Linked DNA regions of Cricetulus griseus. The main gene of each other region encodes a partner of the protein of the gene in region 7 in a complex. Links are inferred from orthologs where the notes say so. Each region holds a gene or a part of one and is shown on either strand. Other genes may lie near its edges. The genes, in order: Tmem67, Cc2d2a, Tmem17, Ahi1, Tmem216, Tmem231 and Tmem237.

Evidence for each region.
Region 1: Tmem237 (region 7) and Tmem67 share a complex: the UniProt entries of both Homo sapiens proteins name them as parts of the tectonic-like complex. The link is inferred for Cricetulus griseus from reciprocal best matches to the Homo sapiens genes TMEM237 and TMEM67.
Region 2: Tmem237 (region 7) and Cc2d2a share a complex: the UniProt entries of both Homo sapiens proteins name them as parts of the tectonic-like complex. The link is inferred for Cricetulus griseus from reciprocal best matches to the Homo sapiens genes TMEM237 and CC2D2A.
Region 3: Tmem237 (region 7) and Tmem17 share a complex: the UniProt entries of both Homo sapiens proteins name them as parts of the tectonic-like complex. The link is inferred for Cricetulus griseus from reciprocal best matches to the Homo sapiens genes TMEM237 and TMEM17.
Region 4: Tmem237 (region 7) and Ahi1 share a complex: the UniProt entries of both Homo sapiens proteins name them as parts of the tectonic-like complex. The link is inferred for Cricetulus griseus from reciprocal best matches to the Homo sapiens genes TMEM237 and AHI1.
Region 5: Tmem237 (region 7) and Tmem216 share a complex: the UniProt entries of both Homo sapiens proteins name them as parts of the tectonic-like complex. The link is inferred for Cricetulus griseus from reciprocal best matches to the Homo sapiens genes TMEM237 and TMEM216.
Region 6: Tmem237 (region 7) and Tmem231 share a complex: the UniProt entries of both Homo sapiens proteins name them as parts of the tectonic-like complex. The link is inferred for Cricetulus griseus from reciprocal best matches to the Homo sapiens genes TMEM237 and TMEM231.

What each region holds. Positions count from the first base shown.
Region 1 is NC_048595.1:126,316,081-126,320,099, forward strand, and holds part of Tmem67 (meckelin), read right to left. Parts: intron 3,575-4,019; coding exon 3,476-3,574; intron 1,144-3,475; coding exon 1,045-1,143; intron 849-1,044; coding exon 762-848; intron 1-761. UniProt on the Homo sapiens protein: Required for ciliary structure and function. Part of the tectonic-like complex which is required for tissue-specific ciliogenesis and may regulate ciliary membrane composition.
Region 2 is NW_023276807.1:112,267,981-112,272,784, reverse strand, and holds the start of Cc2d2a (coiled-coil and C2 domain-containing protein 2A), read right to left. Parts: upstream 2,992-4,804; 5' UTR 2,854-2,991; intron 1-2,853. UniProt on the Homo sapiens protein: Component of the tectonic-like complex, a complex localized at the transition zone of primary cilia and acting as a barrier that prevents diffusion of transmembrane proteins between the cilia and plasma membranes.
Region 3 is NW_023276807.1:84,237,589-84,242,269, forward strand, and holds the start of Tmem17 (transmembrane protein 17), read right to left. Parts: upstream 3,135-4,681; 5' UTR 2,888-3,134; coding exon 2,788-2,887; intron 1-2,787. UniProt on the Homo sapiens protein: Transmembrane component of the tectonic-like complex, a complex localized at the transition zone of primary cilia and acting as a barrier that prevents diffusion of transmembrane proteins between the cilia and plasma membranes.
Region 4 is NC_048595.1:268,868,974-268,873,507, reverse strand, and holds the start of Ahi1 (jouberin), read left to right. Parts: upstream 1-1,321; 5' UTR 1,322-1,496; intron 1,497-4,534. UniProt on the Homo sapiens protein: Involved in vesicle trafficking and required for ciliogenesis, formation of primary non-motile cilium, and recruitment of RAB8A to the basal body of primary cilium.
Region 5 is NC_048596.1:49,912,774-49,916,060, reverse strand, and holds the end of Tmem216 (transmembrane protein 216), read right to left. Parts: intron 2,340-3,287; coding exon 2,138-2,339; intron 1,170-2,137; coding exon 1,154-1,169; 3' UTR 607-1,153; downstream 1-606. UniProt on the Homo sapiens protein: Part of the tectonic-like complex which is required for tissue-specific ciliogenesis and may regulate ciliary membrane composition.
Region 6 is NC_048596.1:188,336,488-188,340,979, forward strand, and holds the start of Tmem231 (transmembrane protein 231), read right to left. Parts: upstream 2,908-4,492; 5' UTR 2,864-2,907; coding exon 2,725-2,863; intron 2,624-2,724; coding exon 2,454-2,623; intron 1-2,453. UniProt on the Homo sapiens protein: Transmembrane component of the tectonic-like complex, a complex localized at the transition zone of primary cilia and acting as a barrier that prevents diffusion of transmembrane proteins between the cilia and plasma membranes.
Region 7 is NC_048595.1:413,374,910-413,378,928, forward strand, and holds part of Tmem237 (transmembrane protein 237), read right to left. Parts: intron 3,059-4,019; coding exon 2,938-3,058; intron 2,214-2,937; coding exon 2,056-2,213; intron 1-2,055. UniProt on the Homo sapiens protein: Component of the transition zone in primary cilia. Required for ciliogenesis.

The DNA.
Region 1 (4,019 bases), about 290 Mb from region 7:
ACCTTGCTCAAATGGCTCCCTTCCTCTAGGTTCTGTGCATTTTCTGACTCCATTATGAGTAAGGTGAGCTTTGAAGCCTCGTGAACACAGTAGATGCCCCGATTGTCTTTTCCATCCCTCAGACTGAGAGAGAAGCAGAGTGCTGTTGAAACACATCTCTCTCCTTTACAGAAGCAGTCGGTTTAAACCTAGTTCTCATCCCTGGGGCATTACTGATCAAATGATAAAATCCAAGTACAGGATGGTAACTGTCCTCAAGAATTATTTTCTCGGTGGGTGAAGCAGATACTGCACTTCCAACAGCAAGTGTGGTGAGGGATGTGAACAGCTGGCAGCTGTGTGGATGAGGACATGTTGAGGGGTGGACACCACAGAAAGATGAGGAGGAAAGAGTAATAATAGCTTCTACAATTCCAGCACTTCATCAGAGTTGGATTTTACTCTTCATTAACAAAGAAACAAAATCCACAATGGAAGGTATTTTGTCCCATTGTGAACACATTGCCAGATTTTAAAGGAAAAGTTAAACATTGAATATCATTTTATCAAATTAGTTGCAATTTGTGATTGCTCAGGCATATTTGCAACTTCTTTGAAAAAAAAAACAACTTAAGGTATAAGTTTAAATGGAATATTATAAATGAAGGCACATTTCCCAAGTAAAATTTTCACTAAAAGTCATGAATGCATCTGGAATTTGAAAGACTCACAAGCTTTTTAGCAGGCCTTTGAAATTGAGTAAGCTGTCTTTTGAAACGTACCTTCATAGCAAATGCACACCCCACGTAAGTAACGAAACGTTCTTCTTGAACTGGCATTGGCAGCAAAACAGAGACAGATTTCTGTGCCTAAAAGACATGGTGTATAAAGGAAGCAGAAGTGTGGCAAATATTGACAACCTCAGTAAATGACACACCAAAGGGTGGGGAGCTCAGCAGCTGCCCAGAACTTGAACAGAAATGTCCCTAAAAGTGTTCTGTTATTAAAGTAGCTTGCCAGTTATTCAGATATATGCATTTAGTTTAAATTCAGAAACTTACTCACTTTGAAGAAAATAAGCCAATAGAGACCGGTTCCCACTGTGATGATAAAAAACACATTGGCCAGGTCGCCAGCATAGTACACCAAGAATTTCATAACTGTCTACAATTTAAAAAGAATTACAATTGTTAAAGATTCCATTTATTACCTGCCTATTACATTTATTTCTGCTGAAAAATTGAGCAGAAAATATGTTCTACTTCACTTTCATCATATATAAAATGGGAATAATAAAAGTACTATTTTATTTAAGAACTTAAAGTATAAAATACTTTCTTCTTACTGGGTGTGAGCATGATCTGTATGCATGAGTGTTAACTATCATGGAATGCATTAGAAGTCAGAGGACAATTTTCTGGAATTGGTTCTCTCCTTCTACCTTTATGTGGGTTCCAGAAATAGAACCCATATCTGACAGCTTTTGTGGCAAGTGCCCTTACTTCACTGAGCTGTCTTATTGGCCCATGAGTACTACTACTTCTTACTTATTTATTTTTATTATTGTAGAATTGTGCCCATCTGAGTGCAGGTGCCTGATGTCAGAAGAGGGTGTCAGATTCCCAGCAAGTGGAGTTGCTGGTGGTTGTGAGCTGCCCAAGGTGGATGCTGGGAATTGAGTCTGGGTCCTCTGCAGGAGCAGTACACACTTAATCACCGGGCCTCTCTAATATTATTAATATATTGGCCATTTACATCCATACACTAACAGTTACAAAGACCCACTGAGTTTGACTGTTGTATTTCTCTTTCACTTTAAGAGAAAGTGGAAACTACTTGCAAATTTCCTTAGTTGGGAATCACTACCCAAATCTATCTTATATATTTTCATAGTTATTATTATATTATTATGTATTATACAAAAGGATTGAAGCTTGCTCATGCTGGACCCTAGAGTTAGCTTTCTTAGATGTAAATTAGATTAAGTCACTTTTTTCTTAAAAATATACAATGACTACTCACTAAATTCTTTACCAACAAGATCCTTCACAGTATCAACCAGAGTCAACTTTCTCCTTTGCTCACATGCTAGTTTCCACTCACAGTTCCATCTTGAATACTTCATGGAAAGCAACTGTCATCCTTTTGTCAAATGTCCTTCCCTTTCTCTATCATGAGCTCTGAGGGCAGGATCTGTTGTAGCTGTTTCTGTCATGTTCCCCAGTACCTGGCAGTCTACAACAGACCCTGGGTGACCACTGTGGAATAAACAGTTTAAAGTTTACTTCCATGAAAGTCCTTCTTTGGCTGTCCCAAAGAGGAGCAGAAGCCCTTTGCTCTCACTCCTTATCACACTGGCTAAACAAATTACTACAGAACCATTCTCATGTGCTTGATTTGCAAAACAGAAATAACACTGTTGCTGAATTATTGCAAAAATTAAGCAGAAAATCTAAGCTCTGTTTCATTTTTATTATATATAAAATGGGAATAATAATAATGCCCAACTACATAAGGCTATGTGAAGATTAAGTAAACCATACATATAATGCTTAAGAATGTGCCTGTGCATAGTAAATATTCAATAAATGTTAGGCAAAAGTTTTTATTAATTTCAAAATAAATGAGAAGTAAACTATAAAGTTAATGGAGTAAAATCTTTTTTTGGTATTGAGTGGGCAAGTTTTCCTGAACAAAAAGAACATAATATATATAACACATACAAAATTCATGTGACAGTGTAGACATGAACTAGATGTTAAGTACTAATTATATATTGAATGTTAAAGGCATGGATATTAGGTAGCTCATAAACTTGCACAAAAGATTTCAACATAAACAACCAGAAGGAAATTAATATTTTGAAAAGACAGCTCCTTCATATAAATAAGAAAAAGAAGGAACCTAGTAGAAAAATGACCAAGAGATCTAAATAGTTCACAAAAAAGGAGCCTAAACATTTACAAAGTATATAAAAGGTCAGAGAAATGGCTTAGCGGTTAAGAACACTTTCTGTTCTTCCAGATGTTCGATTCCCAGCATCCAATGGCATCTCACAACCATCTCTGACTCCACTTCCAGGAGATCTGGTGCCTCTTCTGGCCTCTGTGGGCACAGGCAAGTATGTAATGCACAGGCATACATGCAAGCAAAAACACTATATACATAAATGTATGAATAATAAAACAAAATAAAGAAAATAAAATCAACAATGACATCTTAACACATGCCACTTTATTTATGTACAAATATGTTAATGTTGAAAAATATCAAGCATTAGCAAAGACAAAAATAAAAATGGAGGTGGGAATGTAGAGACCTTGGGATCCTGGAAAGAAAGTGAAGTTGCATATGTTCTATGACCTCAAAATACCTTTCCTAACTTATACTCCAGAAAAATCAAAGGCAGCTCGCTTACTCATCTTCTACCTGTATCTTCTGGAAAAGATCTAGAATAGTTAAAACATAAAAACATTCATTTCAAAACCGACTGTACCTGTAAATCAATCATGGGGCTCCCAATGCGCCTCTTCCACCCTGCCGTCTTCAAAAGAGATGACAACACAGCCAGCCCACCCAACACGCCCAATGCAATCTAGAAAAGAAAACAAACATTTTAGAACTTGCATAATTCCTCTCATTGCTCCTAAAACCCATGGTAAATAGAATGTGAAGTTACTCAAAAATTGATGGCAAGTGGTTGAAAAGACATGGGAGACAAGCTGTAAGAAATTCCAGTGACTAACTTTGGAAAATTGTACAAGAAAATGAATAGTAATGGATTATAAAAAATCACTTAAAATCAATGAGATTATATTGACTTAAGTAAATAACTGAATAAATATTAATGAGGGTAAAAGGAAAGTTCTGGCTTATAATAAAGTTCCAATCCTTCAATTCTAAAGAAATGAAGGAAATAAAAAAACATCTGGCAAATACCACAGTGATATTATCCTACAGGCGAGCATCACCAGTGGGCACCAGTATTAGAGGGCAGCAGCGCTGGAGATGGCTCTGTCAGCAAGTGCTTGCTGCACAAT
Region 2 (4,804 bases), on a different chromosome or scaffold from region 7:
AACTAGACTCAAGGAAACTAGTGTTTGAAAATTATGTGATGTGATCAAAGTCACAGTTTTCAAATCTCACATTCAGTGTCTGACCTTAGCACTTGGCAGTTCCAAGGTGTCTCCGGTCCCCAGGCACCAACCACACTCTTTGCTAAACAACGTAACCATCACTATTTGTATATTAGTTCGTTATTGTGAAAATACTTACAGTGCAAAGCCACAAATACTATAGCAGTAAGGAAGGGCATAGGCATCACTAGTAATCTATTTTACACAGTACAGAAAACCAACACATTTTAAAAGGGCAGTTCCCACACTGTATCTGACCATGGGACTCTCTAAACTCAGCTCATCAGAGTCATCTCAAGGATCCCCATGATGACCTTACAGGATGCAGAGAAGAACTGAGAGAAAGAGGCACTTCTCAATCATAACTGCTCCAAAAGGATGGTGTATTATACAGAGAAATTACAGTTTTTCAAATGTGAGGGCTTTATGGAAAAAAAAAGTATAGTCAAGGGTTCAAATTTTCCTCCTTTCAGCAGCTGTGTGATCTTGGAGCAACTCTGCTGATTTTGTAAAGGCACAATCATACTTCCTGTCTCAAGGGGAGAAGGTTTATTATGGGCTCCATACTACAAAGATTGTAATAAAATGTCACCTGGTAGGCTTTAGGGTTTTATTATTAAGAATGTTGCCAGAGTTAGGGTCTGAACCTGAGCCTTGGCAACCCTAATAACATAGGCTTGGCCACCAGTCCCCCAGTAGGCCAGCTAAAGAGACAAATAATGAAAAAATCAGAGAAAGGGGACTTATTCAATATAGTGACATTAGGAAGTAGAACAAAGGAGTTCATTGACCCCCAAAGTCTAGGGTCCTAACATGAAATTAGGTTGGACTAGAAGGTACCAGGAAATATACATAACTAAGCAGTCTTAGTCAAGGTGTGGTCCTGTCCATCACTTCCAGTATCTTCTTTCTGCAAGGTGACTGACAAGCTGTCAGACTGTCTTTCTTGGAGGTAAGTTCTCCCTCCAGCTGGTACCAAAACCCAGACCTTTTCCTTCTCCCAGCATGAGACACTGCGGCAATCCAATTCTTAGAGTCTATAGTTTTAATAGTCTGATAGCTGAAGGGAGAGACACAAGTGTCTCTTTCAATCAGTGGTTCTTAACCTTTCTATTGCTGCAACCCTTTAATACAGTTCCTCATGTTGTGGTGACTCCCAACCATGAAATTATTTTCATTGCTACTTCATAACTGTAATTTAGTTAGTAATCAATCATGATGTAAATATTTGTGTTTTTCAGTGGTTTTCGGTGACCCATTTGACCCTCAAAGAGGGTTGTGACTTACTGGTTGAGAATCGATACTTTTGAGTGTCTTGTTTAACCAGGATGGTCACAAGCAGAGGTCTTGGTTGGTAGGGAAAGAGAGAAAGGGATAGAGAGGGAGGAAAGACCTTGGGGACACAGGAGAATCGTAAGAAAAGCCTTAGGGTGTTTAAGCCCCATTACTCTTATTCTCTTTCATTTTTATCTTCAAACAGTGGCAGTAGCCATAATCAAGTCTGCTTGCTCCTTCCTGCAGCCAGGCCCAGGCCACCTGCTTTTTTTTGTCTATTTTAAGTGTTTCTGGAAGCGCCGGTCTTCCTACCCATGCTCATTTTCTCTCTTCAGAAACAAGAGGCTTTTCCCACCCCTCCCTTTCAAGCTGGGGAATCTCAGGAACTGTCATATGCCTTCTTTTATGATTAATTATGTAACAAATTTTTCTAGCCACAGCTTCTTGAGTACAGGTTAGAGACATAGCTGTGTGTGGTCATTCGATCAGATGGTTATGACACTATTTGCTGCAGCGTGCAGTTCAGTATACAGGGTGTGCTCTGCAGGATTGGCCTAAGCCGTGGAATGGGAGTGCTGGAAGTTCCTCCCTGGACTCAGTCCTCCTGTTCATCAGGCTCTAGACCTTTTTACAAATCTCTTTTGGCATTAGCTCATGGGTGTTTTCATTATCTGTTCATGCATCTGCTTCCCCAGCAAACTCCCAGCATTGACCTGATCTAAGTTATTTTTGTACAATGTAAAGTTGAATTCATCATCTGCTGCATTATTGATGCTCAATAAAAACTCAAATGAATGACTCTGTAAATGAACTCTAGGGCTGTAAATGAACTCTAGGCCAAATATCTATATCTAGATCGATTTACGTATATCTATCTATATGAATATATACATCACACACACATTTCCTCTATCCATATACAGTCCTCCCTTCTCTCTATATATCATACTGGCATTACACTTATTTGCAGAAACATTTGTAGAAAATGCAATTGTAGACACGTATTTCCCATTAGACTTTATTAGATTTTCATAGCACATCTTTGCAAAGAAGAAAGCAGTCAGTTTAACTGACAGCCTGTAGATTTTTCTTAGAGTATGGCAGATTCAGAGCTCTTTGTCCAATACCAAGAAAAGTGAAGTTTGCAGCACTGACTCCACCCACGCCCTTGGAACATTCTAAACCAAGGCCTGAAAGCAACATGCAATGCCAGTGGTTAGCAGCACACTGGCCAGAGGACGGCGCTAGGGGTTCTCGGTTAACTGGCTGGCGTTTCCCCTGCAAACCAGACACACCAGACAGCAGCTGAAATAAAAGCTGTTCCTGCAGCACCCCTACTTTCCGTTCAGAGAGCAAAACTGCAAGCGAAACAAAAGGAGGAATCCCTAAAATTATAATGCATTTAGTCCACTCTCATGGCTCCCAGGGAGGGGCTGACCTCCAAGACTTCCGGAACTGAAAGGAGATGAAAGCAGGACACTGACGTTGCAGCCCCGGTTCCAGTAAAAACTAATTTACCTTAATCCACTCTGCAAAACTCAGCTTGCAGATTCCACTTTCTGGAATTGGACGCATGTGATGAGAGACCAGTTGGGTCAAGCCAGGCAATCTTTTAGAAATGAGTGAAGGAGTGTGCTGGGGGGTAAGGGAGGCTGCTCCCTGTGAAGCTGCAGCCACATCTCAGGACAAAAACACCAGCTTAGCAACCGGTTCCCAAGGAGGGTCACTAGGCAGCTTTTTTTTCTTTTAAAGTGACAGTTTACTTTTAAGTCTTGGAATATGCACTTGTTGGGTGAGCAGAGGAAAAATAACCTGCTGAAGAGAGACAAAGGAAAAACCACTGAGAAGCTGGCCAGTGAGGATGCAGGCTGTCAGGGGGGTGCTCTGTATCATGCCACCGGGTTGCATGGCACTCAGGTAAAGGACAGAGGGTGTTCGAAAGCAGAGTGATTTAGAATCATGGTGGTCCATGCTGCATGGAACAGCAGTGATGCCTCTATGGAGGGGTGCCAGGGCTCCAGGATGTTTGCAGGCTGTGTATGGAAGCCTGAATGTAGGACAGCCTAACCTCTGCTGGTTCTCACTACACATGGCCCATTAGGGATACAAATGTAATGGCAAAAAAAAAAAAAAAAAAAAAAAAAAAGCAAAGGATGTGGGAGAAAAGGCAAAAGTAGGCAGAAGAGTAATGAGCAGACAGAGGGCCTCCACAGAGCAAGGACAGGCAGAGAGCAAAGCCTCTTAACCTCAGGTGTTGTTCCTCAGAAACCTCCCATATTGGCTCTTAAACCAGGTCTCTCATTGGAAGCTGGCATTTGGTGATTAGCCTAGGCTGTCTGGCCAACAAGCTCCAGACATCTACATGTATTAGCTTCCCTGGCACGGACAAAATAAACATGGGCTATCATACAGAACTTCAGTCACCTTCAAAGACGTCCTTTTATCAATGGAACTATCTCTCAGCCCTAGTTTTCTTTGTTCCTGAAGCTCTCCCATTCATCACTTTTGACCTTAGACAGACAGATCTCCGAAGCTAACCAATTCCTAGAGACAGCAAAAGTTTCCTTGGAAATGTATATATTCTCCTTTGATACAAGACAACTGACCCCAAGCTGGCACCTCCTACTACATCTTTATTAAACTCATCCACCAAGCCAAGTCCCCTGCTCTAAGTCATCACTCTGGAGCCATGTGGTTGGGAGCACCTCTACCATCCAGAACACAATGAAGTAATTCCAGTTATCCCATTGTAAACCCACCTGCAAACTCACCCTGCCTCAGTCCTACTTCCAGGGGAAAATCTCAGTAAAGGGGCTCTTCTTGAAACTCGAGCTCATTGATTGGCTAGACTGCTGGCCAACGGGCTTCAGCGATCACCTGTCTTTGCCTCCCCAGTATTGAGATTATAGATGCCTGCAGCCACTTGGCTTTTTATGTGGGTGCTGGGGACCTGAATGAAGGCATTCATCCAGGGCAAGCATTTACCCACCCAAGAAACAAATTTATATCCATTACGATATGCTGCTATAAGATGTTTCTTGCTCTGAGGGGTCTGTGTGACAGCCATGTCTATGTCTGCATGACTCACAGTACCAGTGAATGCAGTGTTCACTTTTAAACACATGTGTTTGCAGTGCACATATGAGTAGGCATGTTTGTGTGGTGTATGTGATGTGGAGCAGGTAGATATGAGACTGAGGAAATGGAATACCCACCCCCAATGTTATATTGATATCTTCACTCCTAATCCCATAGAGTCTGACATTATTTAGAGGTAGGGTCCTTATGGAGTGTGCTGGCTAGTTTTATCTCAACATGACACAAGCTCGAGTCTTCAGAGTGGAGGAAACCTTAATTAAGAAAATGCCTCTCTATAAGATCAGGCTGTAGGCAAGCATGTAGGGTATTTGCTTAATGAGTGATTGATGGGGAGAGCCCAGACCTTTGTGGGTGACGCTGTTCCTAGGCT
Region 3 (4,681 bases), on a different chromosome or scaffold from region 7:
AAAACATAAAAAAAATAAAAGTTGTTATGGTCATGGTGTCTCTTCACAGCAGTAGAAACTCTAAGACAGAAGCCAAGAGAATCAGGTGCCAGAGTTGGGATATAATATTACATCTTTCTGAGCATTCATTTAATCGTCTCTGGAATGATAACACCACTCAAAGGCTGCCTGCCTGTAAGGTTATTTCACTCTTACCAGTGTGCCCATCATACTTAAGGCATACTCAACAAACAGAGCCTTTCATTTTCTTATTTGTATACACACAGTCTCAGTGTAAGCACAGATTTACACTTACATTTCCTATTCGGAATTTTGCTTTACACACTGTGAATACTATGCATGCATAAGCAGAAAGAACAAATTTCAAACGCATAATGACATACATATAGCCATTTGTGACACACAAATTCCATTTATCAGATTGATTACCCAATATCTTTGCTTTTGTATAAGGGAAAAGGTCCCACAACAAGAATTTGATTTTAAAATTGAGCCCTAGAAAACACATTATAAACTTAACTACATTCTTATTTTAAATCGGTTTCTCTAAATGTAATAATTTAGAAAGATACTAACATAAATTACTTTGTAACTTTTTTCCTTTTTATCTGCATAGTTTTTTTTTTTTTTTTTAATTGACATCTAATGCTTTTTGAGACAAGCATGGCCTCTAGAAGCAAAAGTTTCTGTAGCAGGCTTTCTTGAACCACCAGCCCCCAAATCATGACACAGAGATTTGTTATTAGTTATGAATGCTTGGCCTTACTTTAGGCTTGTCCCACTAGAGCCTGTAACTTATTTTAACCTGTTTCTCTTCATCTATGTTTTGTCTCAGTGATTTTTACCTTTCTTTCTATATGTCCTACTTTCCTGCTTCCTCCCTGTCTGCCTGACTGGTTGGCCCCTAGTGTCTCCTTTTGTTTCTCCCTCGTTTTCTTTTTCTTCTCTCTTGAGCCTAGATCCCTCCTCCTAAGTATTCTTTCTGCTCTCCAGCCCCACATATCCCTTTAATGCCTAGCTATTGGCCATTCAGCTTTTTATTAGCTCAATCAGGTGTGTTAGGCAGGCAAGGTAAAACAAATGCAACACATCTTCACAGAGTTAAACAAATATTCTATTCCACAAGTTTCCTTTAAGTTTTAAGGGAATGCCTGACTATTGTGGTCTGCTTTTACTTGCCTTAATTTCTTAAATTATCCCTAATATAGGAATAAAATTTTAAAATCTTTTAATTCTGAAGATTGTGGAGGAGAGGTGTTGTGGAGCTGAGGTGTTGTGGAAGTGAGATGATTGTAGATGTGAGGTGAGGTGGATGTGAGGTGAGGTGGATGTGAGGTGAGGTGATAAAAATTTTTACAGCCTAATATTAAACTCACTAAAAAGACAGGAAAATAATTATATATTGGTTAAGCTGACACTTTCAGAGCCTTTAGAGCAGAAACTAGCTAAATGTTTGCAAAGAAACTGAGGCAGGGAGTATTTCACATTCAAAGCCAGTCTGGGCTACACAGCAAGTTAGTTTCAGGACAGCTCAGGCACTTCTTGATTGCACTGTAACAACAACAACAACAACAACAACAACAACAATTTCGTCGTTGTTGTTTAAAAACCTATGGGGATATAGTTTGGTAGAGTGACTGCTTAGCATGCCAGGGCTTTTATTTTATTTTCTGTAGTGTCACATCCATACTTCAACACATCAAACTTAGGCAATTGAAAAAATCAGGCCAAAATATAAATGAGGCACAAGATGCAAATTCATTAAATTTTACAAAAGTTCAAGTTGAATTCTGTAATGAGATAAAATTAAAGCATTATATATTGGACAGGCAAATTTCACTAACCAATTAATTACCTGTCTTGGCAGAGACAGTGAATTAAACAGCTTTTCTCGAATTTGAATGGTTGGGAAAAATACTATATGATATATGAAAACCATATGAATTTCCAGTTTCTGGTCTTTAGCGATGTTGGCATCCAAACAATTAACACTACCTAAGGCTGAGGCTCTGCAGCCTACAGAGCTGCAGAACAAATAATTTCTCCAGTAACTGCACTCTGACCCCAGAGACCTCAGTGCAAGTTAAGGCTCTTAGAAGCATGGAAATCTAATTTTTCAGGTCGATGGGAAGTGGCTTTGCTTTTCAATTTTCCCTTTTAAACAGTAGCCAAAACCAATCTGGAGAAAGGATTTCTCCTTCCTTGAGTTCATTGGTGAAAACGTATGCTGTAGTCAAGATCGAGGAGGCTGACACTGTGGTCAACTCGACGGTGTTGACCCCAGTGTTGGATGGAGCCGGGAAGAAGGCGCAGGCCGAGGAAGGCCACGTTAGTTTGGCAGCCGCCAGTCGTGTGGACAGTGGTTTAAAAGGCTCATTCAATGAAAAAGCAACCCCCTTTTCTTCCCTGTACCCGGCTGGGAGGCTGGCTGGGAGGAACGAGCCTATCCTGCCAGGAGGGGTTTGACACAACAAAGCTATTGTCGGGGTGGGAGCGGACGCTCTCCCCTCAGCCTGGCCTGGAAGGCCCGGCGGGCGTCACGGAGGAACGCAGCGGGGGCCCGTGTCGGGAAGCAGGCGTTCCTGCTCTGTATTCCAATTCTCTCGGCGACAGCGCCCCCGCGGTTGAGGCTCGCGAGCGCCCGGGTGGGTCGCAGGCCCGCAGGCAGCCTCCCGCACGGGGGATGCGCCATGGCGGAAGCCGAGGCCGCCATTTTTCACCCGGGCACGGCCCGTGCGTCCGCCCGCGAGCCACACCCCCGCGCGGGCCTGCGCCCTCGCCACTCACCCGCCGCCTCGCTGGACTCCGGCCCGGTGCGGCTGGAGTCGCCGAACACCGTGAGGCTGAAGTTGCCCAGGCGCTGACGAACAGGGTCCGGCAGCTCCATGCCTGGCCTGCCCGGCCTCGCCCCGCACACACCCGCTAATCAGCCAGCGCAGCGGCGTGCTGCAGTTCCCCGGGCAACGGGGCTGTGCCAGCCGCTAGGGAGTGGGTGCCCGGGTTGCCCTGCACGGTCCAGAATCTTCCGGAGGCTTCCCTTTGGAGGGGCGAGCAGAGGCAGCTGGGCCTGCAGCTGAACGTAGCCTCGTGGTAATGCAAATGGCGGGTTCCTTAGTCCTGCCTTTTAAGCCGCGGGTCTTAAAATGTTCACATGTAACAAGCCATTCCAGCCTGGGCTGAGCCACAAGGAGTCCTCACACCATGCCACTTTGTTTGCAAAATTGGTGCTTCTTCTCTAGAGGGAAATGAAGAACGAGCACAGATCTTAAAGAATGCCCCTCCCAGAGATTCTTTTCTAAGGGTATATACAATCTGGGGTAAGACTAGGTTAGACCAAGTGCACCTGCTTCAGAAGGGAAGGAAGTAACTCAAAGTACAGAACAGTTGTTTCTGGATCATGGGTTATTTTAAAACTTTCAAAAAAAAAAAATCAGCCTTTTCTTGCTTTCACTTACAATGTATCATTTTTAGCTCTAAGGAGGATCCCCATTTTGATCTCAGCCTGGGCTACATTGTAAAACCTCAAAAACCAAACCAAAACAAACCCTTAAGTGTAATAGACATTACAGAAAAGCACAATCCAGTTGCATTAGGACCCGAGTCAGTCAGCCTTATAGCTACCTCTTTCAGTGGCTGATGGAACAGCTGGCCTACTTAATACTTTATAGTAGACTAATTGCATAGAAAAAGTTTAAGAAAAAACCTGACTCTGCCATCAACATTTTTATTGGTTTTCTTCCTATTTATGATCATACCAACAAGCTTATCAACAAGCTGTGGATATGAACCTGTGTATTTTGTAGTTGGGAGCAGGTATGGCTGGCACCACTCTTGGTGAAAGTGCCAGCGGGTAAACATACCCACAGGTATATGCTGAATGTGTACCCAGGAGTGGAGAGGCTGAGTCAAACAGTATGTAAAACCAGTTTTGTTAGGTTCTGCCATCACCTTTCCAAATTGTCTAACCTCCAGCTACATATGAACATCCCTGCCACTCTGTGTGTTTTACCAACACTTATATTCCATCCTTTAATCTTTCTGGTAAAGTGTGGTGGAACTGGAGTTGTTGAAGCTGTTACCAGCACTTGTAGTTCTTGCAGAGGACCCAGGTTTGATTCCCATTACCTGCATGGTGTTTCACAACCACCTGTGACTCTATCAGATACTGTGAGAGCCAAAGTTACATTTTAAGTTTTAATTATTATGCCGTAGAGATCCATGAAACAAAATGCCATTGATCAGCAATCCCCTTGCCCAAGGACAAATAGTTCCTGAAATGCTAGAGGCCACTGTTTATGGGAGACAACAAGCCACAAGTTTTTCACTCCCCCAAACAAATTTGTTTGACCCATCTACACCAGATGTGCTTGATCACATGTTGGTGGGAGGTTCACAGGCAGGAAATACGTCTAGATGATGTATGCTTGCTCCTGATTGGACCTGATGGGAAATATTTAGGCCACTGCTAACTGTGACTCAGGGCCATTTTCTGGAAACCCAGAGATGGACCTGGCCAGTATGTAATTAAAGCTTGCTTTAAATTTGGTTTTAAACTGTAGTAGTGGTCTTCTCGATCAGTGGGATTAGCAGTAGCTGACCTCCATGGGCACCAAGCACACATGTAGTCTACAAACAAAAATGTAGGCTAAATACACAGAAAATGAATAAATCTAATTCTAAA
Region 4 (4,534 bases), about 140 Mb from region 7:
ATCCCAGCACTCTGGAGGCAGAGGTAGGCGGATATCTGTGAGTTCGAGGCCAGCCTGGTGTCCAGAGCAAGTGCCAGGATAGGCTCCAAAGCTACACAGAGAAGCACTGTCTCGAAAAACCAAAAATAAATAAAAATAAGTAAATCAACAAACAAAAAAGAAAAAGAGGATGGTAGCATTAGTAGCTTCACATTAGTAAGGTTAGCCTGATAGTGGAGTGAAAGAAAATTAGTCAAAACTGGAGTCAGGACACAGGTAATGAGGCCAGTTCCCCATAAGATATACTGGCAGCTTGCCTTAGGCAATGGTAATGATGGATAAGCTATATACAGTGAGGACACTGAAAATATAGGTTTGGGGGAAAAAAATTAAGAAACCACCTAAGGGTTTCTTGCTAAAACACTGAAGAGATGGTGATAGCTTAAATCAAGATACTCAGAAGGGGAAAATTGAGATTTTTCAGTGGAAAACCCAGCAACTCAACGTTAGGCAGGCTTTAGATTAGTGATTTTTCCCCTGGTCTCCTCATTGCACTTTGAGAACCAAATGAGATGTTTTGTTAGGTATGATAATACCAGTGAGAATGGAAAAGCTGGCCACCAAACAAAAGCACGCACTACTGTCACCACACAAAGGACACAACAGGTTGTGTGGGAGGACAGCTGCAGAAAATGGCCTCTAATTCTAGTGGAGCGAATGCTGCACCTAGTATTTTTCCACTCCTGCTGTGACTCACAGCCAAAGATGGCGCCTCAAGAAGAATCGAGCAAAGGGGGAGGGGGGCGTTGGAAAACGTGACGTTCTTAATTCTTGTTTTCACCACAGTCAACAGCGCCAGCGGGATTGCAATCTCGTGGGGATCCTCATTCACGCTTAAAAGCACGATTCATTTTGTGGGCGCACGATGTAGGGGGTGACAAGTCTTCCTGGACTGCACTGCATTCATTCACCCATTCATTCATTCCTATTCATTCTTGTATGTTTTCTACGCTGGGCGCGGGCCCGTCAGCTTCCACCTCTGCTTCTCCCCACAGCGCTTCCAGTCCTGAGGCATGACGCTTCTCCCGAGGCGATGGCATATTGCCCTCGGAGAGAACGAGCACTCCTGACCCACTTCCGGCTCCACGGGCGGAACCTCGGGCTCCCGCGCGCGCCCGCGTCAGAGCGCGCGCACGCCGGACTCTCAAGAGCCCGCAGGCACGAGCAGCCGACAGCGCTCGGCTGCCGCCGGGGAGGGGGCGGGGCCTAGGTCCAGCCCGGAGCTTGGGCCTCCGGACCCAGTTACCTAGGCAACGGCAGCAGAGGCGAGCCTGACGTCAGCGGGCGGCGCGCAGCCCGCACTGCGGCACCAGGGCCCCTCTTCAAAGCGCGCGTCGCCAGCGGTTGAGGCTGCCGTGCCGGAGTCTCCGTCGGGCCGCCTAGCTGGGCGCGGGGAGCCGCTTCGCACTGCCGGGCTGTCGCTCGGGCGGGACAGGCCGCGCTGCGCGCTCCTCTCTGTGAGTACCCTGCGGGCGCGCTGTGTCGGGAGCCGGGGTGCGGGCGCTCGGCCCTGCCGGCCGGCCTCTCGGGGGCGGCGAGGGGGCTGCTGGAGGCCGGGAGCGCGGGGCAGCACTGCGCCATGCAGGTCGAGCTTGGCCTGCGCCCCGCGCGCGGCCGAGGATGCCGCTGCGAGCTACTTCTGCCTACTCTCCCGCTCTCCTGGTCCAGGCTGCCCAGCATGGTGCTCCGATGGAGGGGATGCAGCCTCTTCCTCTCTGCTCGCAGTGCGGGCTTAATTAAATGCCCCTCAAGTTGATGCGTACCGAGTCTATTTCCTTTTAGATGTCATCCTGGTACTAAAGGACGTGCTGTTCTCTTAATTACTTACATCTATGAAGAGTGATCGATGGGTCCTATATGGAAGAGTCAGGTTATATCGATAGGATCATTTCAGTCTGTGTAAACCTCCCCGGAACGGAGGCTACTTAAAAATCTACCAAATGCTTGCTCTGCCTTTATTGTCACTATAAAAACATCCCCCGAAATGTTCCCTCTCCGTTTTTTAAAGAAAAAGATGCTAACAGGCTTTTCACCTGTTGCATAAATGACTGCATGAGCTTTCAGGAGAAGATGTTTGTTATGAGGTGGATGGGGAATTTTTTTTTAAGGATATTTGAAACAAATTCAAATGCCAATAATTTTAACAGTATTTAGAATATTATTTATTTATGAGGATACCACTGACTTATTGGTTGAATTATGCTGCTTTTTTTCTTTGAAAATTTGTTACAGAGGAGGAAATCATCAAGTGCGTATGCTTTTTTTCTTGCCTTGATGTGTAGGCGTGTACTCCATGTTTTTCCAGAGCAGGGAGGGAATGTAATCCGGTTAATTTTTCTGCGTAGTCTCGCATAGGAGCTTCTGTAAAGCTTCTTCGGATGACGAAATCTTAAAATAATGGTATAATGATATCTAATATCGTGTATAATAATTTTGAAAATCAAAAAATTGTCCTATAAAATCATATATACAAAATTGGAGATGTTTTATTAAACCTAACCTTAAATTTTGGTGATGTTATTAAATATCAGTTATTCTGTTTTTCTGTAGTATACCTTAACATTAAAAGATGATTATTTCTGTACTGTATTTGCTGTGTTATCATTAAATATTAGTGTTTAAAAAAATTAGTGTTTATTCAGTTGTGCCTCAAAATATCAAACAATATTAGATTTATATAAATATATTAAATTAATCGTGTGTTTTCTTTTTTAATTATTTGCTAAATGGGCATAAAGCAAATTTACTGAGTACCTGCAATGTGTGATTTATTTTATTTTTATTTTATTTTGCAATTTTTTTCTCCTTTCAACAAGTAGGTGCCATTTTAAGATCTTAGACATTTTAAAAAAAATTTTTAAAAAAACCAAGGCCTAGTGAAATTAATACCTTATCCAAAGCCATTTATCAGTAAATAACAGGATGGTACTAGAATCATTGTTAATTGCTTCTTTTTCATTTTAAACTGAGGCACAGACCTGGCCCTCCAGAGGCTAGCTCTGTGTGTGTGTGTGTGTGTGTGTGTGTGTGTGTGTGTGTGTGTGTATGTGTGTGTGTGTGTGTGTTGGGGTGATGTCACAGAATATAGCATTTTACAAGGACGAAAGTTGAGGGTTTGAAATCAATGGATTGATGAAGAACAGAGTATCTTGTGGAGCTGGTATCGAATTCAGGATCTTGCAGATGCCTGGCAAGCATTCTACCATTGAGCTACATCCTCAGCTTCCCCTCCCCCACAACAAAGAAAAATTCCTTTCCAGATGTTTTTATCCTTCCAAGGTGTAAGAAAATTCTAGAATGAATTTATCTACATGCCTCTCTCACATATCACATTCTTTAAACCTGTGACTGTCAGCTTTCTGTAAAAAGCTATGGCACATGTGACTTCCTGATTATAAATCTATAGTAGGTAGGCATCCTTCAAAATTTACAGCATCTTTTGACAGCATACAGTATAGATTATTTTCTCTGTGTAACACTCCATTTTCTCATTTTTTGAAACCAGTCTCCTTGAATTGTTTTTATTTTGCAGGGTTCAAAGTTAACCCTTTTGGCATTTTATGTTACCGAAACCATTACATATAGGTGATGCCCAAATCTGCAGCCTCTACCTATTGGTTTAATACATTCTACTGCCTGCTAAACATAGTATTATGCTATTATTTTTATTAAACAATGTTATTACTGCTATATTTGTATATTTGAAAGCTTGCTATGTGACAAATATTGTACCAAGTGTTTTGCTTGTATATTCTTATTTACTGTTTATAAAATCTTACGAGTGATTTACTCTTAGTCCCTTGACAAATTAGGAAATTGAGGTCTACAGATATTAGTCTCTTGGAAGATGAAACTGGAATTTGAACCCAGGAGTCTGTTAACTAATTTGATTCTTGTAGTTGCTTAGTACTCCTTCGATGCCCAGTCAGTATGCCTCACACTAAGCTAAGTGCCCCATGAGAATTACCTATTATAAGTGTACCTATCATTTATTGGTACTTATTTAACTATAGTAAATCATATAATTATTAGAATTACCCATAGAACAATGAGTAAGCACTGTTTACAGGCAAAGTTTACAAATAAACAGATGCATGAATGTCTGATGTCACACAGGTAGCCATGGGAAACTAATTCTAAGAGTTGGGTTTAAAACTATTCTGTTATACTAATTGCATTATATTATAGCTAATACTGTTGTCCCGCTTATTCTAGTTCGAGAGACACAGAAGAAACCATCCTCAATTCTCCTGCTTCTTTACTAGTTATTTAATGTTTTCTAAAATATCAAAAAATTTCCATTGAAGAGCAATGGTATGATCAAAGGTCTGATTACACTGGCCTTTGTAGCCTCTTTCTTACAATTTGGTGTGGATTAGAAAGTAGAGACCAGAAAAATGGTGAGGATAAGTGACTGTTGAGGCTCAACTCTAAGTAGGACATCTGTATCAGCCCCTCCAGGGTCAGGGAGCATCACAGAAGTGTAGATGGAGAA
Region 5 (3,287 bases), on a different chromosome or scaffold from region 7:
CTGGGGCACTTGAGAGATGGCTCTGTGGTTAAGAGCACTAGCTGTTCTTCCAGAAGACCGGGGTTCAATTCCCAGCACCCGCATGGCAACTTACAACTCAGCTGTCTGTAACTCCATTTCCAGGGGATCTGATACCTTCACACTGATGCACATAAAGAGTCCTAAAATGGACTTTCACAACTCCTCGTAGCTTCTTGGAATAAAATAACATGGCAATACTCAGAGAAATACATGTTCCTTTTAAGCTAACTCAAGGAAAAAGATTTTGGTCAGTTTTAGAATATACTTCTCTCAGTTTCTTATTACACATGGCCTATGCTGGAAAGAACTGAGACAAGCAGACTTGGGGCAGAGATGAACATATACAAAGTCTTTTGCCAATGACAGACCTGAAGCAGACAGACAAGATGGCAGTGCCTTTTGGCATTCAGGCTGCAACTTGGGCATGAGGAGTAAGGATCAGAGAGAGACTTCTATCACTATCTTTATGTCACAGTTTACCACTAAACACAGCCTTAGAACACACTGTTGGGATAGTCTATGCCCTCACTTAGAAGAGATGAAACTTAAAGACAGGTGCCAGACACAAAACATAACCAGCCCCACATCAGAAAATAATGTTTATTATAAAACTGTTTGCTTCATGATCAGAATAGAAAAATACTATGAACTACTAAAAGGGTTCTGGATCTCCATCTCTGAGCATGGGGGGTGGGGGTATTTGAATCAGCCTAGGAGGCCACCATCATGAGGCTCTTCATGCTCATGCAGGACAGATGTGGTACATGTACAGAGTGCTGTGGCTTCCGTCCTACTGGAAGCCCAACAAGCCATATAATCCACACAAGGAGCTCTGGCCATGATGACCAAGGAAGAGAACTTGAGGTCAGTAGGAAGCTGTTAGGAAGCCCAAGATGTCAACAGCTTTGCCTCTCCCTACCATAAAATGTCCGTGTCTCCTGCTGATGATCCTGGTTTAAGATGACGCCACTGACCTCAGGTAGGTGCTCAATGCCCAGATGTCTGTGCTAAGGAAAAACCACACAACCTTTCCCAGGCCAACTTGACCTACCACTTTTCACAAGTGTGGCTGACGTACCAGAGGATGTGGGCTGTCATCCTGATGGGCTATACCAGCTGGAATTCTTATACTTCAGATCCTGTCCATACTAAAGGCAGAAAAAAAGAAACTGTTAAAAGACCAGTGAGTGGGGCTGGAGAGATGGCTCAGCAATTAAGAGCATTGGCTGTGGGGCTGGAGAAATAGCTCAATGGTTAAGAGCACTGCCTGTTCTTCCAAAGGTCCTGAGTTCAATTCCCAGCAACCCACATGGTGGCTCACAACCACCAGTGAAATCTGGTGCCCTCTTCTGGCCTGCAGACATACATGCAGGCAGAACACTGTACATAATAAATAAATAAATGTTTTAAAAAAAAAAAAGAGCATTGGCTGCTCTTCCAGAAGACCCAGGTTCAACTCCAAGCACCCACATGGCAGCTCAAAATTGTAACTCAAGTTGTAGTGGATCTGAATTCCTCATGCAGACATACATGCAGGAAAACATGAATGTACATAAAAAATTTTAAATTACTTTTTAAAAAAGACCATTAAGTAACAGCTGTTAGCTTTAACTCTGCATATTTGAAGCTCTTAACTCTAAAAGAACCAGAAGACTATCTTCCTTAAAAAAGAAACTTTTGGGACTGAGGAGATGGTTCAGTGGGTAAAAGTACTTGCCACCCAAGCATGAAGACCATCACCCATGAAAGGAGAGATGGGATTCCTGGGGTATGTTGGGTAGCTGGACTAGCCAATTTGGAGAGCTTTGGGTTCAAGTGGAAGACTCTCCAATATATAAGGTGGAAAGTGATTGATGAAGATACCTGATATCAACCCCTGGTCTGCATGGCACACATGCGTATGCACCCATACACACAACCATCTACCCGAATATTTGTGTATACACGCACACAAGTGAACATATATATGTAGACCACACACACTCAACCTTCCTACCTACTGAAAGAAAAGCATCTCCATAGACACCCCCTCAAATCCAGTTTTCTACACCTTTCAGGCCTTCAAATACCAATGCATCCATCCCTGGGTGGGGGACCCAGCCTTCAGCAGTAATACCTGGAGAAGGTCGCCAACGTGAGCATCTCAAGCAGCAGCTCTGAACCACAAAAGAAGAGCAAAATGCTGTTCATGATAGCTTCTAGACGGAGTACATAGGTCTGCAGCAGGAGGTAATAGGAAGCCATCATGGCAGATGGGAAGGTCAAGGCCACACTAATGCTAAGAGGCATCTTTCGCTGGCAGAGGTTTCCCTTTGTACCTAAAAAACACAACCCCCAGAGTCACCTCCAAATGGTGATTGCTTTTTCTGGCATCAGCCTGTTTTTACTCACCACAGAAAGTATCTGGATGTGACAGATGGGCAGAGCAGAGAAAAACTACCCTTAGTGGGAATGTCATACTTAAAAGTGAAGTCCAACTGAACTAAAAATTTGAAGCTTCAGGGTGTTACATAATTGATGTCATTTACTCCAGAGGCTCTGCTTCCATTCTGACTCTACTCAGGGAGCAATGGGATTCTGCATCAAGGAAAAAAAAAAAAAAATGGGAGGCAAAGACAGGTGGGTCTCTTGACTTTGAGGCCAGCCTGGTCTACATTGAGAATCTAGGGCAGCCAGGCTAAGGTGTCAGAATTGAAAGTTCAAGATTATCCTGGTCTCTTTGCTTCAAAATATCAAAACCAAAGTGTGTGTGTGTATAACATGTATGCATTTGTATCCAACAACAACTTATAAAATTGTATATATAAAATCTATGATGTATATATCTCATATATATATATACTTTTCAACTAATGAAAAATAAAATATAGAAAATGCATTAAGCCGGGCAGTGGTGGCACATGCCTTTAATCCCAGCACTCGGGAGGCAGAGGCAGGTGGATCTCTGTGAGTTCGAGACCAGCCTGGTCTACAAGAGCTAGTTCCAGGACAACCCCCAAAGCCACAGAGAAACCCTGTCTCGAAAAACCAAAAAAAAAAAAAAAAAGAAAAGAAAAAAGAAAATGCATTAATAATCTGCTACTTGGGACTGGAGAGAGAGATGGCTCAGTGGTTAAAAGCCATTGCTAATCTTCCTGAGGACCTAGGTTCAATTCCCAGCACTCACATGGCAGCTCAATAGTCTGTAACTCCAGTTCCAGAGGATCTGATGCCCTCTTCTATTTTTCCATTTAATTCTTACTTGTATATTTATACGTGTTCACAAA
Region 6 (4,492 bases), on a different chromosome or scaffold from region 7:
AACCCTAGTACTTAGTAAAAGGAGGCAGAAGGATCACCAGTTCATGGCCAACCACAAAGCCCTGGGAGTGTTGCTTCGTGGGCAGAACACTTGCATAGCCATTTTGAGATCCTGGGTTGGCTCACCAGAACCACAGTAAGTAAGTAATAAAAACAGGCATGGTGGGCCCATGACTGCAATCTCAGCTGGGGGCAGGCACAGGAGCTCAAAGTCTTTAGGGTCATCCTCAGCTCCAAGCTACCCTGGGCTACATGCCACACAATCTCAAAATAACAAAGGGGGTATGTGTTTGTGTTGTGGGGGAAGAGAACTGGTCATTTAAAGAATAAAAGAGATCAGTGGTGTTATAAAAACCACATGATTTCCACAGCAAAACCTTTTACCTGTTACTTGATGAGTGTGTGTAGAAATGCTTTCCTAGGTGTTTGATAACATTTGTTTGGGTGTATCTCCATTTCTGTCTGGAGTATTCTCTACTGACACTCCATGAACAAAGCTGGAGCCTGAGTTCCCCTCTTCCTACCAACCCTCATCACATACATCCCTCTCTCAACCCTTCAATTGAGCTAGATTCATATTTCGGTCAGTCAGTATTCATTGTTGTAATCAGGACTTCGCCAGTCCTGTTCACAATGCCGACCGAATTTCCTGCTTTGCATTTTCTTGTGTTTTATTTCCCTGAAGTTAACAATTATTTTATTTGCTTGCTTCGTTTTCTTTGTGTGCATAAAATTTCAACGACATCTTCCATTGACATTTAAAGGTGTATGGTTTAAGTCTGGACAAGCGGTCATGCCTATAGCCCGCTTCTTAGAAGACTGAAGGGGGCTTATTGCTTCAGCCAGCTTGGGCAGGCAAGATAACAATAATCCATCTTGAAAAGAATGAAAAAGGCATAAGGCTTAGTCAAAAATTTGTTATTTAGATATTAATTCTAAGTTCTTTAATCCCAGCACTCAGAAGGCAGAGACAGGCAGATCTCTGTGAATTCGAGGCCAGCCTAGTCTAAGTGAGTTCCAGGACAGCCTCCAAAGCTCCAGAGAAACACTGTCTCAAAAAATAAAAAAATAAAAAAAGTCTAATAGTGAAAAAAATTAAATTGAGGCAAATTATTTAAAAAAAAAAAAAGGGTGGACAGTGAAATAGCTCAGCAGGTAAAGACCCTTGCAGCCAACCCTGAAAATCTGAGCTGGATTCCTGAGATGGTGGAAGGAGAAAACTGACTCCTCCGAGTTGTACTCTGACTTCACCTGCCAGGGCCATGGTTTTGTGAGACAGAATGAGCTTGTGCTTGCTGTGACAAAATACTTACCAACAAATAACTGGTTAAACTTATCATTCTGCCCATGTCATTAAATAATCTAAAGACTTTAAAAATAATAAGGTTGGTTAACAAGTACTGATACCTTTACTTTTCTGTCATCATGTATAAACCTGTACCTTTTTAATCTCACAATGAGTCTACAGGTTAGTGATCAGAGGGAACACACACACACACACACACACACACACACACACACACACACACACATTAAAGAGCAAAGTAATCTGGTTATATTTTGTGTATTGCTATTCACATGACCAACAAGACTTTAATATTTTAAAGCTCTTATTTAGCTGTTGGTGGAAAAGTCCGATTTTTTTCCCCCATCAGCTACACAAGTTTCCTTATAAGGCTAATAACCAGCCATATCTGAAAGGATTCACGTTTGAAAGGAAACTATTTTCAGAATACGAACGGAAAGGGATGCCTGTAAGGGAGCATTTGATTTACGTGAAAGTAAACACTAAACTGCAGGCAGTAAAATGCTTCAGCTTCATGGAGGACAGCTGCAAAGTGGAGCAGAGTGCGGTGAGCCTAACCCTGACAGGCATGGCTTGGCCAAAGCAGGAGCCGAAAACGCAACCAATCAGCGCTTGTCCCCGCCCCTATCCCCGCGTCCAGTCTGCATAAATCCGCTGGCACTTTCTGCCCTTACAGAAGTGGTGATGCTCAAACTCGGCTTTCAATTCCCTAAAGGGGCTTTCACTGCCTCCTTTCCATTCAGAAGTGACCACCACCAGAAACAGGCTGTGCTCTGGCATCTGGACTCTTGTTAGACAAACACCAACTACATGGCTGACTTTCTGGAGATATCTAGAAAGTTAAACATGCGCAGGCCAAAGACTGTGTTTCCAACCCCTGTAGCTCCTTGAGATCCAAGCAGTGAGGCTGGGAGTGTGGCTCAATGATAAAGTGCTCGCAGCGAAGCGCACAGCCCTGAAATCCCAACACTGGGAAGGTGGAGGCCGGAAAACCAGATGTTGAAGGCGGTCTTTGACTATATAGTTTAAGATCAGCTTGCGAGACTTGAGACCTCCCCCTTACTCCCCCCCCCCCGCCCCAATCCAACCTGGGATCCCTGGAACTCGCCCCCATCTTGTTCCCCAGAACCCCGGCGGGAACCACGCACCGACACGAGCGGGACTCGCAGGTGAACCCCCTGCAGCCGGTTGAAGGTGGGGAACGTGCTCCAGGCGAGGAAGGCTCCGGGCTCGGGCCCCAGTAGGGCCACGAGTAGCACCTGGTGCTGGAAGCGCACGCTAGGCTGCTCCTCGTAGCTGCTCCGCTTCAGCCAAAACCCTGCGGGAGACAAGGCGGGTTGGGGAGCCAGGTCAGGAAAGCCGGCCTGGGCCAGCGGGCCGCACCGAGCCATGTGGCTCTTCAAGCCCGGGCAGGCTCACCGTGGCTTCTGAAGGCCACTAGCAGAGGGGGGATGTAGGTGAGCACGGTGGCCAGCAGCAGGAAGAGCGCGGCCTTGGAGCAGAGCCCCGCGCGGTAGCCGCGCTCGGCCGGATGGGAGAAGAGCTGGTACAACGCCATGAGCGCAGGCCGCAGCGCCGAGTCTCCACGGCAACCCACAGCGGCCAGAGGAACCAATAACAAGTAAGCAGTCCTTTAGGAGGGGTGGGGCTAGCGGAAGGCTGTGCAGGATTAGATAGTAGATGCATTTTATGCGGTGCCTGAGGTCCCTTCAAGAAAACAACAAGAAAGAGCCCAGTACTTAGTTTGTTTTTGTTTTTCGAGACAGGGTTTCTCTGTGTAGCTTTGGAGCCTATCCTGGCACTCGCTCTGGAGACCAGGCTGGCCTCGAACTCACAAAGCTCTGCCTGCCTCTTGCTCCCGAGTGCTGGGATTAAAGGCCTGGGACACGACTGCCTGGCTGTATTCTCCAACGTTAGCATTTGCTGATCTATTATGTGAGTACTTACTACTACTATTATTTCAACATGGGAGAAAGTTGGTCTTTTGTTGTTGTTTTCAGTTTGTTTGTTTGTTTTTTTTGAGACAGGATTTCTCTGTGTAACCCTGGCTCTCCTGGAACCCTCTCTGTAGAGCAGGCTGGCTTCAAATTTGCAGAGATCCACCTGCCTCTGCCTCCCAAGTGCTAGGATTAAGGGTGTATGCCACCCTAACCCCCATCCCCCAACCCCTTAAAAAGATCTTAAAATCTTTTTAAGATTTTATTTATTTATTATGTATACAACATTTTGCTTCCATGTATATCTGCACACCAGAAGAGGGCACCAGATCTCATAATGGATGGTTGTGAGCCACCATGTGGTTGCTGGGAATTGAACTCATGACCTCTGGAAGAGCAGTCAGTGCTCTTAACCTCTGAGCCATCTCTCTAGCCCCTTGTTTATCCATTTTGAAATAGGGTTTTACTATGTAGCTTGGGCTGGCCTTCACTTCTCCTTCCTCCAGGTCTGATGCAGGAGCAATCAGGGCTCTTAACCATTGGGTCATCTCTCCAGCCCCCATCCCCCGGCTCCAAACATACATCTTAATTCTGGAAAGGCTGTCCTCTGACCTTCACATGCATGTCATGGTGCTTATCTGCATATGTAAATAAGTAAATAAATATAGTAAAACATGTAATAAGGAGCTGGAGAGAATGGCTGCTCTTTCACAGGATCCTTAAGTCCAGTCACAGGGGACCCAACAACCTCTCTGGGCACTGTATACACATGATACATACACATGCATACAGTCAAAACACCCATATGCATAAGATGAAAATAAAGGGACCAAGTGCTGGTGGCTCATGCTTTTAATCCCAGCACTCGGGAGGCAGAAGCAGGCAGAGCTCTGTGAGTTCAAGGTCAGCCTGGTCTACTGAGTGAGTTCCAGGACAGCCTCCAAAGCTACAGAGAAACCCTGTCTTGAAAAACCAATAATAAATAAATAAATAAATAGATAAATAAATACTGCACTAAAACAAGTGTTGTGCCCAAGTCTCAAAGATCCCCAAAGACCACCAGGGAGACAGACCCACTGAACTGTAAAAGCAAGGTTTTATTATTTATCCAACCATGAAAAGGACCCTGTCTGACTAGCTGATGCAACAGCCTCAAGAGGAAGCGAAGTTCCCTATCTACTGCTAGTTTTTTGGTTTTTTGTTTTTGTTTTTTCATCTTTAGAGAGTTCTCAGTTCCATGCTGCAAAACT
Region 7 (4,019 bases):
GGGGAGGCCCCTGCACTCCTGGGAGCCTCTGGAGGTGGACTGGCGTTTTGCCCTGGTGGGTGGGAGGGACTTCGAGAGCCCATCCCACTTGAAGGGATTCGCTCTGTCTCTGAACACATGGGGAGGGGCCTAGGCCCAGCACAGGAAGATTTGGTGGACTTGGTGGAGCCCTGGTTGGGGGCCCTACCCTGCCTGGGGAGTGGTGGGTGGATGGGGTGGGGGGTAGGTTGGAGGTGGGGGAGAAGGAATGGGGGTGGGGGGAAGGAGAGGGAGAGGGAAAGTACATGTGAAAATATTAATAATTTAATAAAAAAAAGAAAAATAAATAAAATCTTAAAAGCAAAGAACAAAAAAAAGGAACCTGCAAGATGGCTACAGAGGTAAAGATGCTGCCTCGAATCAAGCCTGATGTCCTAAGCTTGGTCCCCTGATGCACATAAAGGTAGGACAGACCTGATTCCACAAAGGTGTCCTCTGACCTCACACACATGTCATTCATATACACCACACAAGCACACATGCTTAAAAAATTAAAAGCGGTGAAACTAACATTGAATTTCTGCTGTTGTCTTTTTTAATCTAAAGTTTCTCCTTGATTATAAGTTTTTTTCTTTTCTTTTCTTTCATTTCTGGCTGCTTAGACATACAATTTTTTCATCTTTAAAAAAAATGCAGTGCCAATAAGCTTTCTTCACAACCCAAAGCTGATGTTAAAATAAATAATTTTAGGTGTCAATGGTATTTAGTGAAATACAACTTTCAACTCAGAATTAAATTTAAAAGCCTTGGCATGACGGTCTATAGAAGTAATTTAGTGACTTTAAGAATATTAAAATTAAAATGTTGGGAACTAGAGAGATGGCTCAGTGGTTAAGAGCTCTTACTGCTCTTACAGAGGGCCTGGGTTCAGTTCCCAGGGCTCATGTGGTGGCTCACAACCACCTATAGCTCCAGTTCTAAGGATGAGATACCCTCTTCTGACCTTTGTAGACACAAGACACACATGTGGTACACATAGGCAAAACACTTATACACATAAATAAAAAAACAATAGGTTTCTAACAATAAATAATTTTTAAAAATTAAAATGTTTATACACTATCAAGGCAAGCTATTATTTGAAAACTTTAATTCTTGGGAAAAGATGTTGGAGTGTGCACGCAGCCTTCTGTAGGAGCAGGAAAGATGTGGGATATTGTGGGATATTTCATAAAGTTCTCCTGAGATTCTGAGTGGGACTTCACACTTGCACTGCTTAGGACAGTTCTTTAGATGCAACAATCCAGATCTCAGCAGGCAGGATTCCATCTCAGGAACCCTCACAAAAGCCGTTGCTCAGGTATCTTGAAGGAATGCAAGAATAACTCATTTTCTCAAAAAAAAAAAAAAATTACTGGATAGATAGCCAACAGAACTACTTGTGCCTTTTATGATCAGTTTCTCAAATAAGGAAGTTTTACACTAAAGGAAACCAGAATAAAAATTCTGGGTAACACTGCTAGAAAAAAGAGGGGATGAGGGGATGGCCCAGTTGGTAAAATGCTTGCCTTCCAAACACAAAGATCTGCCTTTGATCCCGAGATCCTACCTGAACTGTTAGGCATGGTGGCCATACTTGGAGTCCCAGCATTCAGAAGCAGAGACAAGACAATTGCTAGGGCTTGCTGGCCAGCTGGGCTAGTCTGGTGGACACTAGCCCAATTAGAGCTCCGGTCTCACAGGAGCTAGAGGGTGCTACTATGGATAACACCTGACTTGGGTGAGCGGAAGCTGAAATTGTAATATATTGTATAGGGGGAAAAACTATTTTCAGTAAAAAATAAAATCCAGCTGGAAAAAATAGTGTAATAACAGTTTTGTGTGTCAATTTTTGCTCATATTTTTATTATTTCCTTCATTCAGGTCATCAGAACAATATTTTTGGTTGTGAGCCTAGCTGACAACCTAGGCTGAGCCTTCTTTCCAGCCCTGGGTCATTGGAACTACAACTACCAGGTAAAAGATATCCTTCTACAATATTTAGAGCAATTGTATTCCAAAAAAAGAATTACTTACGGCTTTTTTCCACAAATACTTTGCTGACAGGCTGGCTAATTCCCGTGGGTGCTGTGAACCTGGAGTGCTGCTCTAGGGTACGCTGCTCATCTGTAATTATGTCTTCATCTTCTACCCCTAACTCATCAGCATACTGTAGCTCTGCTGGCTGCGTTTTCCTGAAATTGGGAAAAGTCTTTGAGAAAAATAGGTCATTCCTGAATTTTTAAAGACCCACATAAGAAGTTACCCATGGACATAATGGAAAGAGTCCTTCCTGAACTTGAAGTATAAAAATATGCTGTTTATTCAGATTTGTTATGGACTAGTACATTCCTCAAAGTGCCCACATTTCTGTGTACCCCAGTTTTCTCAAAATGGTCAAGGACTGGGCTAGATTGCTCCTGACTTAATATCATTAAACTCTAAATGTAACTGATTGCTGTTTGTAGAGTAATTTTTAAGTACAAACATCAATGTTATATAACTTCCAGGGTATTTTTAAAAGTATGCTCTTGTATTTTTATATAAGACTTAACTTCCTATATTAGAGCACAATAGTTATGCTTATCACAAAATAGTTCAAATTCCATTAACATGAAAAACAAATCACAGTAGCTTATCTTTAATGGTTAACCCTTATCTCATCTTTTGAACTTATTTGAAAATATTTTTTTTAGAGATGACTCTTTAGCTATTTCCATACACTATTCTTTTCTTTTTTTAATGTTCTATTCTTTTCAAATCTCTCATATATTGGTTTAACTTATAATTCTATAGTATCACTTATTTCAACACATACAAATACGGTGTTTTCCAAGACCCAGTGAGGAGCTACTCTTTAGGATCTAAAACAGCAGCACTGGCTCCTAGGGACAGCTAGAAGGGTGAGTAAACTATTACTTGGCCTTCCTTCGTGGTTTTGGAATGACTGCCTCTGCCGGTGGCTCCACATTGACACCATTTTCATTGCGTAGGAAAGATGGACTAGATGATGGCTTTTCAGCGAAGGAAGTCTCCAACTCTGAAAATGAGATGCGTCACATGATTACAAGGTGAAAATAAAACAACACGCAGTCAGTCTCCTGACTTTTGTGAGACTGGAGAACTTTAAGACTTTCAGTTGGACCAATTCTTTTCTGCTACAGGCAGAGCTGGTGTTGGAAATGGGGTCTCACTGTGTAGCCCCAGCTGCCCTGGAACTTGCTGTGCAGACCAGGTTAATCGTAAACTCAGAGAGCTGCTGTTAAAGGCATGTCTCAACACTCAGCTAGGATTAGATTTCTTAAATTTTTTCCATATTGGTTGACATTAAAACTTGGAATTACAGTGTAGAAGTATAAAATTTTCTAAATAAAAAAATTGGGCGGGTGTAGTGGTGCATGCTTTTAATCCTAGCACTCAGAAAGCAGAGACAGGCCAATCTCTGTGAATTTGAGACCAGCCTGGACTACATAGGAAACTGCAGGCTGCCCAGGTTTAGACAGTGAGACCCTGTCTGAAACAAAACACTAATTCCCACATTTGGAGTATCCCCAGATTTGGCAACTTGCTGTCAGGACTCAAGGGACTCAGAAGTTATTACACTCACAAAGTGTAATTACAGCAAAGAAGAAAAGCAAAATCAGCAAAAGGAAAAAGCAAACAGACCAGATTCAGGTGACACACGCACAGTACCCCACAGCCCTGAGTCAGTGGAGTCACACTCCAGGCTCAGTGCTCCGAAGTCCTCCATCAGTGGAGTCACACTCCAGCCTCAGTGCCTAACAGTCCTCCATCAGTGAGTCACACTCCAGTCACAGTGCCCAACAGTCCTCCATCTGTGGAGTCACACTCCAGCCTCAGTGCCCCACAGTCCTCCATCAGTGGAGTCATACTCCAGTCACAGTGCCCAACAGTCCTCCGTCAGTGGAGTCATACTCCAGTCACAGTGCCCAACAGTCCTCCATCAGTGAGTCACACTCCAGTCACAGTGCCCAACAGTC